2 linked regions of the Oryctolagus cuniculus genome follow. The protein of the gene in region 2 binds, or shares a complex with, the protein of the main gene of each other region. Links are inferred from orthologs where the notes say so. Each region holds a gene or a part of one and is shown on either strand. Other genes may lie near its edges. The genes, in order: POLR2D and ERCC2.

What was found.
Region 1: ERCC2 (region 2) and POLR2D share a complex: the UniProt entries of both Homo sapiens proteins name them as parts of the TBP-based Pol II pre-initiation complex. The link is inferred for Oryctolagus cuniculus from reciprocal best matches to the Homo sapiens genes ERCC2 and POLR2D.

Annotation. Positions count from the first base shown.
Region 1 is NC_091434.1:121,247,770-121,252,036, reverse strand, and holds the start of POLR2D (DNA-directed RNA polymerase II subunit RPB4), read right to left. Parts: upstream 2,961-4,267; 5' UTR 2,872-2,960; coding exon 2,799-2,871; intron 1-2,798. UniProt on the Homo sapiens protein: Core component of RNA polymerase II (Pol II), a DNA-dependent RNA polymerase which synthesizes mRNA precursors and many functional non-coding RNAs using the four ribonucleoside triphosphates as substrates.
Region 2 is NC_091449.1:11,481,857-11,485,655, reverse strand, and holds part of ERCC2 (general transcription and DNA repair factor IIH helicase subunit XPD), read right to left. Parts: intron 3,722-3,799; coding exon 3,605-3,721; intron 3,525-3,604; coding exon 3,408-3,524; intron 3,268-3,407; coding exon 3,144-3,267; intron 3,034-3,143; coding exon 2,937-3,033; intron 2,752-2,936; coding exon 2,618-2,751; intron 2,538-2,617; coding exon 2,369-2,537; intron 1,571-2,368; coding exon 1,452-1,570; intron 1-1,451. UniProt on the Homo sapiens protein: ATP-dependent 5'-3' DNA helicase. Component of the general transcription and DNA repair factor IIH (TFIIH) core complex, not absolutely essential for minimal transcription in vitro.

The sequences.
Region 1 (4,267 bases), on a different chromosome or scaffold from region 2:
AGCCTTAGAAAATGGGAATTAAGGCCGGCGCCGCGGCTCACTAGCTAATCCTCCGCCTGCGGCACTGGCACCCCAGCTGGGACTAATCTAGTAGCAGGTAAAGCCACTGCCTGCAGTGCCAGCATCCCATATGGGGGCAGGTCTGAGTTCCAGCTGCTCCTGCTTCTGATCCAGCTCCCTGAGAATGGCCTGAGAAAAACAGCAGAGGATGGCCAAAGTCCTTGGGCCCCTGAACCCACATGGGAGACCTGGAAGAAGCTCCTGGCTTCAGACTGGCCCAGCTCCGGCCATTGCGGCCATCTGGGAAATAAACCAGTGGATGGAAGATCTCACACTCTAACTTTGCCTTTCAAATAAATAAATAAATTTTCATTAAAAAATAAATGGAAATCAAACAAAGTTAGAGAAGCCTCTGCTTCTGCACTAAGCCACATCTATTTGTGAATGCAATGGGATAGGGTTGGCACTTGCAGCACAGCAGACTAAGCCATTGCTTGGAGCCAGCATCCCAAATCAGACTGCCAGCTACTCCACTTCCAAGCCAGCTCCCTGCTAATGCACCTGGGTGATGGCTCAACTATTTGAATTCGTGCCACCCACACGGGAGACACGGATGGAGTTCTTGGCTCCTGGCTTTAGCCTGGCCCAGCTCTGGCTGTTGCAGCCATCTGGGGGAGGACAGGGAACACAAGATGTCTCTCCTGTCTCTGTCACTCTGCTTTTCAAATAAATTAATTTTTTTAAAGATTTTTATTTTAATTGAAAGTCAGAGTTACACAGAGAGAAGAGAGGCAGAGAGAGAAGAGAGAGAGAGAGGTCTTCCATCCGCTGGTTCACTCCCCAGATGGCTGCAACAGCCGGAGCTGTGCCGATCCAAAGCCAAGAACCAGGAGCTTCTCCCCGGTCTCCCACATGGGCACAGGGCACAAGGACCTGGGCCATGTTTTCCCACTGTTTTCCCAGGCCATAGCAGAGAGCTGGATGGAATGTGGAGAAGCCAGGTCTCGAACCGGCGCCCATATGGGATGCCGATGCTTCAGGCCAGGGCATTAACCCACTGCCCCACAGCGCCAGCTCCCAAATAAATTAATTTAACAACAAAAGTAATGGGAATGGAATGTCAGGACAGCAGAGACTAGTCATTCATTCCCATTCCTCACTAAGGCAATGCCCAAGTACTACTTACACACTACCCTCACTTTCTTCAGTCAAGGAAAGGGCATGTGTTTGCCCTAGCAGGGAAGATGCCTTCATCCCACATGAGCACACCTGGACCTGGGTTCAGGTTCCAGCTGCAGATTTATAACTTCCTGCTAACGCAGACCCTGGGAGGCAGAACTGATGGTTCAAGCAGTTGGGTCCCTCCCGCCCATGTGGGAGACCTTTATTGCAGTCCCAGCTCTTGGTGACCCAGCCCAGCTCTGCCACTGTGGGCATCTGGGGAACCAATCAGTGGATGGCAGCTGTCTCTCTGCCTTTCCACAACATACACCCCACCCCACCCCCCCAAACAAAAGAAAAGAGAAAGAAAAAGCCAAACTGGCTGATTGGAGTGGCTTAGGCAAAGAGTGTGTGATACCACCAAGCCCCTGAGAAACATTTCCAGGATTCTACTTCAACAGACTGGCCCCCTGCCATCCACGTGGGAGACCAGATAGGGTTCCTGGTTCCTGGCTTCAACCTGACCCAGCCCCAGCCATGATGACCTTCTGGGGAGTGAACCAGTGGATGAAAGAGCGATTCTGATCTCTCTCTCTCCCTCCTGCTCTCATTCTCACTCTGTCAAGTAAACAAATAAATCTAAAAAAAGAAAACACTATGGAGAGGAAGGCTTCAATATTTCTCCCTAAGGCTAAACTCATTATTTTCTAGGTGAAATCAGGGACCTACATGTTGCCCCAGTGCAGCTATTTTAAAAATGGCGGTCACAAATAACTTAAAATGATTCTTTGGTCAGTAAGTCACCTGGAAATTCTCTTGAGGTTCCTGCACTACAGTCATTAATGGTTTACGAGTGGCTTGTTTAAGTGGTCTTTTTTTTTTTTTTTTAATTTATTTGACAGATAAGAGTGAGACAGAGTGAGAGAGAGAGAAAGGTCTTCCTTCCGTTGGTTCACCCCCTAAATGGCTGCCACGGCTGGAGCTGCGCCGACCGAAGCCAGGTGCTTCTTCCTGGTGTCCGACGCGGGTGCAGGGCCCAATCACCTGGGCCATCCTCCACTGCCTTCCCGGGCCACAGCAGAGAGCTGAACTGGAAGAGGAGCAACCGAGACTAGAACCCAGTGCCCATATGGATGCCGGCGCCGCAGCAGAGGATTAACCAAGTGAGCCACGGCGCAGCCCCTTGAGTGGTCTTCTTACACCATACATTTTTCTCTCTAGTACAAAACGAAGGTACCGTGGTTCAGATGCTACTTTGGGAAACCCAAGTCCCGTGCAGCATCCAATATTGGATTTGGTTCTGGCTCCACTGCTGATTCCAGCTTCCTGCTGGTATGCACCCTGCGAGGCAGCAGATGGCAGTCTGTTCCCGGGTAAAAGACACTAGTGCACCTAACACAGGCAGCAGGAGGCCCGGCAGGGGCAAATGCCAGTGGGCGCCGAGCATTCCAGGGATGGGAGCGTGGAAGCCGCGACGCCAGGGTCCGCCGGTGCCCGACCAGGATCCTTCCAGGGCCAGGGTCCCCCTTCCCCCAGCTCCACGCCGCGCCGGGATGGACCCCGGCCGTCCGCTGAGGCCAGGAATTCAGCGAGAAGCGACCGATGATTAGAGATAGCCCCGCATCACCTCACCTCACCTTTGGGAAAGATGAGCTGTGAAGCGTCCTCCTCGACGTCGCCAGCCCGCGGATCAACGCCACCGGCCGCCATAGCTGTCTCGCGCGCCGCCACAGACAGCACCGGAAGCGGAAGCGCCGAGCCGCGAGCCGCTAGCCTGGCCACGATGGGGCGGGACCCGGGGCGGGGCTAGGAGATGGGGCGGGGCGGGGCGGGGCCCCGGAAGAAGCGGCCCTGGCTCTGCTTTGGTTTTCCGCGGGGTTACTGGGTCTTTCTGGACCGAGAAAAGGTGGAATGCGCTGGCACGCTAAGGGACTACTCATGCAGGGACTGGCGGGTCATGGAAAGCTGGGCAGATGACCCCGAAAGCCTACGGTAGGATTTCTTCCAATGATGTTAGCAGTCAAACATTTGACTGCCTTGCAGTGAATTATCTACTCTTTTTGAGAGTGTGGACAGTGATGTCCAGAGGCCTTTAACCCACCTATGGGGACATTAGGATGGTTCCTGGAAAATTATGCCAATGAGAGACCATGCTTTTGTGGGCTTTTTTTTTTTTTTTTTTTTTTTTTTTTGACAGGCAGAGTGGACAGTGAGAGAGAGAGAGAGAAAGGTCTTCCTTCCGTTGGTTCACCCCATTTATGGCCGCTACGGCTGGAGTTGATCCGAAGCCAGGAGCCAGGTGCCAGCAGAGAGCTGGGCAGAGAGGGGCAGCCGGGACAGAATCCGGTGCCCTGACCGGGACTAGAACCCGGGGTGCCGGCGCTGCAAGGCGGAGGATTAGCCTAGTGAGCCGCGGCGCCGGCCCGTTTTGTGTTTTATGAATTTATTTTATCTGGCCCCCCGGGTTCTCCTCTTCCAGGCCAGCCCTCTGCTGTGGCCAGGGAGTGCAGTGGAGGATGGCCCAAGTGCTTGGGCCCTGCACCCGCATGGCAGACCAGGAGAGGCACCTGGCTCCTGGCTTCGGATCAGCGCGATGCGCTGGCCATAGCACGCCGGCCGTGGCGGCCATTGGAGGGTGAACCAACGGTAAAAAGGAAGAACTTTCTCTCTGTCTCTCTCACTCTCACTGTCCACTCTGCCTGTCAAAAAAAAAAAAAAAAAAAAAAGAAGAATTTATTTTATCTAGTTATGGTATCTTTATTATGAATTCATTTTTTTTTTAAGATTTATTTGAGGGGCCGTTGCTGTGGTGTAGCGGGTAGGGCCGCCGCCTGTTTGAGTCTCAGCCGATCTACTTCCAATCCAGCTCTCTGCTATGGCCTGGGAAAGAAGTAGAAGATGGCCCAAGTCTCTCTCTGCCTCTCCTTCTCTCTGTGTGTAACTCTGTTTCTCTCTGTATTACTTTAAAAAAAATTATTTATTCAAAAGGCAGAGATACAGAGAGAGAGAGCTCATCCATCCACTGGATCACTCCCCAGATGGCCACAACAGCTGGAGCTGCACCAATCTGAAGCCAGGAGCTTCTTCCGGGTCTCCCCCGTGGGTG
Region 2 (3,799 bases):
CAGGACCCCCGGGTCGTGCCCGCCCTGCTCAGGAGCCGGCCGTGGCTCCACGCTCCTCTCAGGGTCCAGGATGGCCTGTGGGGCCCCTATGCCGACCCCCCTTCCTGGTTGCTCACAACTGCCTGCCTGACCCGGAAGCTCACTCCCCCAGGGCCTTTGCACACGCTGGCCCCTGGCCGAGGCAGCTCCACGGGTTGCTTGAGGCCTGACTCCGCCCAGAGCCCCCCGCGCCCTGTAGGCACCAGCGCTGGGGGTCCCGCCCACCAGCTTCCCCTCCAGCCAGGTCTCGGAAGGCAGTCTTGTGGCTCTGTTGCTTCCACAGTGCTGGGCCCAGCTCATTCGTTGAATGAACATATGAATTCACATATTTTCTCTTTATAAAAAAAAAAATAATCCAAGCCCCTGCCCTGGGCGCAGTGGTGCTCCAGGGTGGGCAGGGCTGGCACAGAGGAAGTCAGGGAGGGCTTCCTGGAGGAGGAGACGGCCAGGACTTGCTGCTGACCGGCCCTGGGGTGGGGTGACCGTCTCTGCCCCCTGCAGGACGTTGGGCCTGACCTGGTTTCTGCACAGGGCAGCAATTCCCAGGGATCAGACTGAGCCCTGGGTTGGTGTCGAGCGAAGGAAGGGGGCGGGGCCAATGGACGCAGCCTCTGGGTCACCCCGCCCAGGCTCCTCCGCTCCTGCCCCCCGCCCTGCCAGAAGCCTCTTCCTCGGGCACAAAGCCGACCCAGCACCTCCCTCACTCGGAACCTGCCATGGCTCCCCAGTGCCACAGGGCGCACGGCCACCAAGTCCTGACCACGCTGCATGGTGTGGGCGACCCCACAGGGCTCACCCTCCCCCGGCCAGAGGGGCCAGGAGACACAGGCCTGAGCACCAGGCTCACTCCCAGGCTGTCCGAGCAGGCAGCCACGCCCTCGGGACACCCACACCCTGTCCAAGTGCCTCCTCATGCGCACCCCAGGAGGCAGCAGGCGGTGACTCCAGCACTCGGGGGCGCCCTGGACCCGCTCTGCCTTTCCAACGAGAATTAAGACAAAAAAGGCAGGCGGGACCCAGTGTGGTGCAGCGGGTAAAGCCACTGCCTGTAGTGCCGGCTTCCCATACAGCGCTGGTTCGAGCCCCCGCTGCTCCACCTCCGACCCAACTCCCTGCCAATGTGCCAGGGAAAGCAGTGGAGGATGGGCCAAGTGCCGGGCCCCTGCACCCGCGTGGGAGACCAGGAGGAAGCTCCCGGCTCCTGGCCCAGCCCTGGCTGTTGTGGTCATCTAGGGATGGAACCAGCAGATGGAAGCCCTCTCTCTCTCCCTCTTCTCTGTCACTCTTTCAATACATAAATAAAAATCTCAGGCAACCGCCTGTGGCTCTGTGGTGCCTCTGAAAGGAGCCCAGGCCCGAGGCCACGAGGGTCCAAGCCCAGGGCCCGGCCGCGGCGGCGGAGGGGAGCTCACCCTTGGCGTAGGTGCTGACGAGCGTGGCGAAGTTGGCGAGGAGGGTGAGGGGGGAGAAGTCGGCCAGGTCGGCGATCTCCAGGGTGTGCAGCAGGGAGCGCAGGCGCTCAGCGCAGAACCTGGGGGGCAGCGGAGGGGGCCGCTGGGGCGGAGCCAGCAGCGGACCAGGGGCCCCGCCCACCTGCCTCGCGGGTGAGTGGCCGCTCCTGCCTTTGTCCCACACAGGGCAGCTGCACACAGCCGCCGCCAGGGCCCTGCCCGACACGGGCTCACGCAGCCTCTGCACAGCCCCTCGGGCGCGCACGGGGCATCACAGCCCCCCCCCGCCCCCCCCCCCCCCCGCAGAGCACACACCGATCAAAGTCCAAAAGGCGACCACAGCGCTGGGCCCCTGCTGAGGCCAGGCTGGCCGGAGGCTGGCGCCAGGCGGGCAGCGGGACCTTAAAGTCCGCCTCCAGGGCTCTCCAGGGCTCACCTCTTGCAGCCTGGTTCCTCCCACCTCCTCCAGCCCATCACCATCGGGAGACGCCCAGAGGCGCCATGGGCTGTCTCAGCCACCGCTGGGTCCCCAGCCCGGAGCAGGCACGCGGGAACAGGTGCTGAGTGATCCAGACCCGCTCTCTGTCCTCACGAGCCCCCTGCCTGGCCGGGGGAGGTGAGCAAAACCGCCCAGGGCTGCCCCCTGCAGAGGGTTCGGTCAGAGCCCCGCGTCCTCACCCACAGCACTGGGACGCGACCGAGACCTGGGACGGATGGTTAGAGCCCCAAGGCCAGAGAGTGGCGGTGCCTCCCACCCGCCCCAGAGAAAGTGCGGCCAGAGGCCCAGGACCCACCCACAGCCAGGGAAAAGCCCGGGAGATGAAGGCACTGGCCACGCAGCAGGCCCCGCCCACGCCCGCCCCGCCCCGCCCACGCACCGGAGCGGCTTGCGCTGGATGCACACGCGCTGGGCCAGGCTGCTCAGGAAGGCGGGCGGGCTCTCCTGCACCACGTGCTGCACGCGCAGGCGCCACTTGACGAACTCCAGCAGCCTCCGCAGGAAGCCCAGGAAGTGCTCGGCCGTGCGGATGGAGCCGGGCACGGCCTCTGCGGGGAGCGGGGAGCGGGGCGGGGGTCAGCGGGGGCCGCCGGGGCCGCGGCGAGGCCACGCAGCCGCAGGGCCTCACCTTGCAGCACCTCGTCCGGCAGCACGGGGTTGGCCAGGTGGGCGTCAGTCTCCCGGGCCACGCTGGCCTCCCGCAGCCCCTCCACCAGGCGCCGGTACTCGTCCCGCAAGCGCTGCTCGTCCGTCTCCTTGATCCTGCAGGGACGCGGGTGCCGGGGCACTGTGACAGGGCCGGGCGTCCGGGGTCTGCTGGGGCGGGGGCGGGGGCTGGGGCTGGGGCAGGGGCAGGGCTGGAGCAGGGCAGAGGCAGGGGCTAGGCAGGGGCGGGCCTGGGGCAGGGGCAGGGGCAGGGCTGGGCAGGGTCCGCCCACCGCACCCACCTCTGCACCGTCTTCTGCAGCGTCTCCAGGTTGCCCTGGCAGCGGTCCAGGGTGCGGCGCGTGAGGTTGACGCTCATGGAGTCGATGCAGACGTTGTCTGTGGGGAGCAAGGCGAGGGGCGGGCTCAGCGCGGCTCCGGCGGGGGGGGGGGGCGGGGGCGTGTGCGCGTGCGTGCTGGCGTCACCGCCGGCCCGGCTCCGTCCTCACCGATGTTGTGGGCCTCATCAAAGACCACCACGGCCTTGCGGGCCAGCTCCTTGGACACCAGGTCGGCGATCTTGGGGTCCAGGAGGTAGTGGTAGCTGTAGACCACCACGTTGGCGTGCAGGATCTGGGGCCGGGAGCCAGCGTCAGCTGGGCCTCGGGGCCTCCTCGCTCCCTCCCAGGCAGAGAGGCCAGATCCGAGCCCCCACACGCAGGGGCGGCCGGGTGCTACCCGCCGCCCCTGCGCCTGCCCCGCCGGCCCCTCACCGAGTACCGGGCGAGGAAGTAGGGGCACCAGCCCTGGCGCTGCCCCAGGGCCTTCAGGTCATCCAGGTTGTAGATGCCGGCGGGGAGGGGCACCTGGCGCCCATGGGCATCGAACTCCTGGTGGGCGAGAGGGGCGGGGTCAGGGGTGTGGCCGCCCGGCTGTCCTGGCCTGCCCGCCTCAGGCCGAGCCCCGGCACCTCGTAGAAGCGGCAGTGGGGCCGGCTGGCGTCCTGCTGGTACTGCGCCCGAATGTAGGAGGCCGTGAGGCTGTGGCACTTCCCATCAACGTCCTTTCCGAAGCGCAGCGGCGTCACCTGGGGCGGGGGACATGGAGGCGCTGAGTGGCCCCTCCACGAAGCCGGCCTCCACGCCCCGCAGGGGCAGGCTGGGTT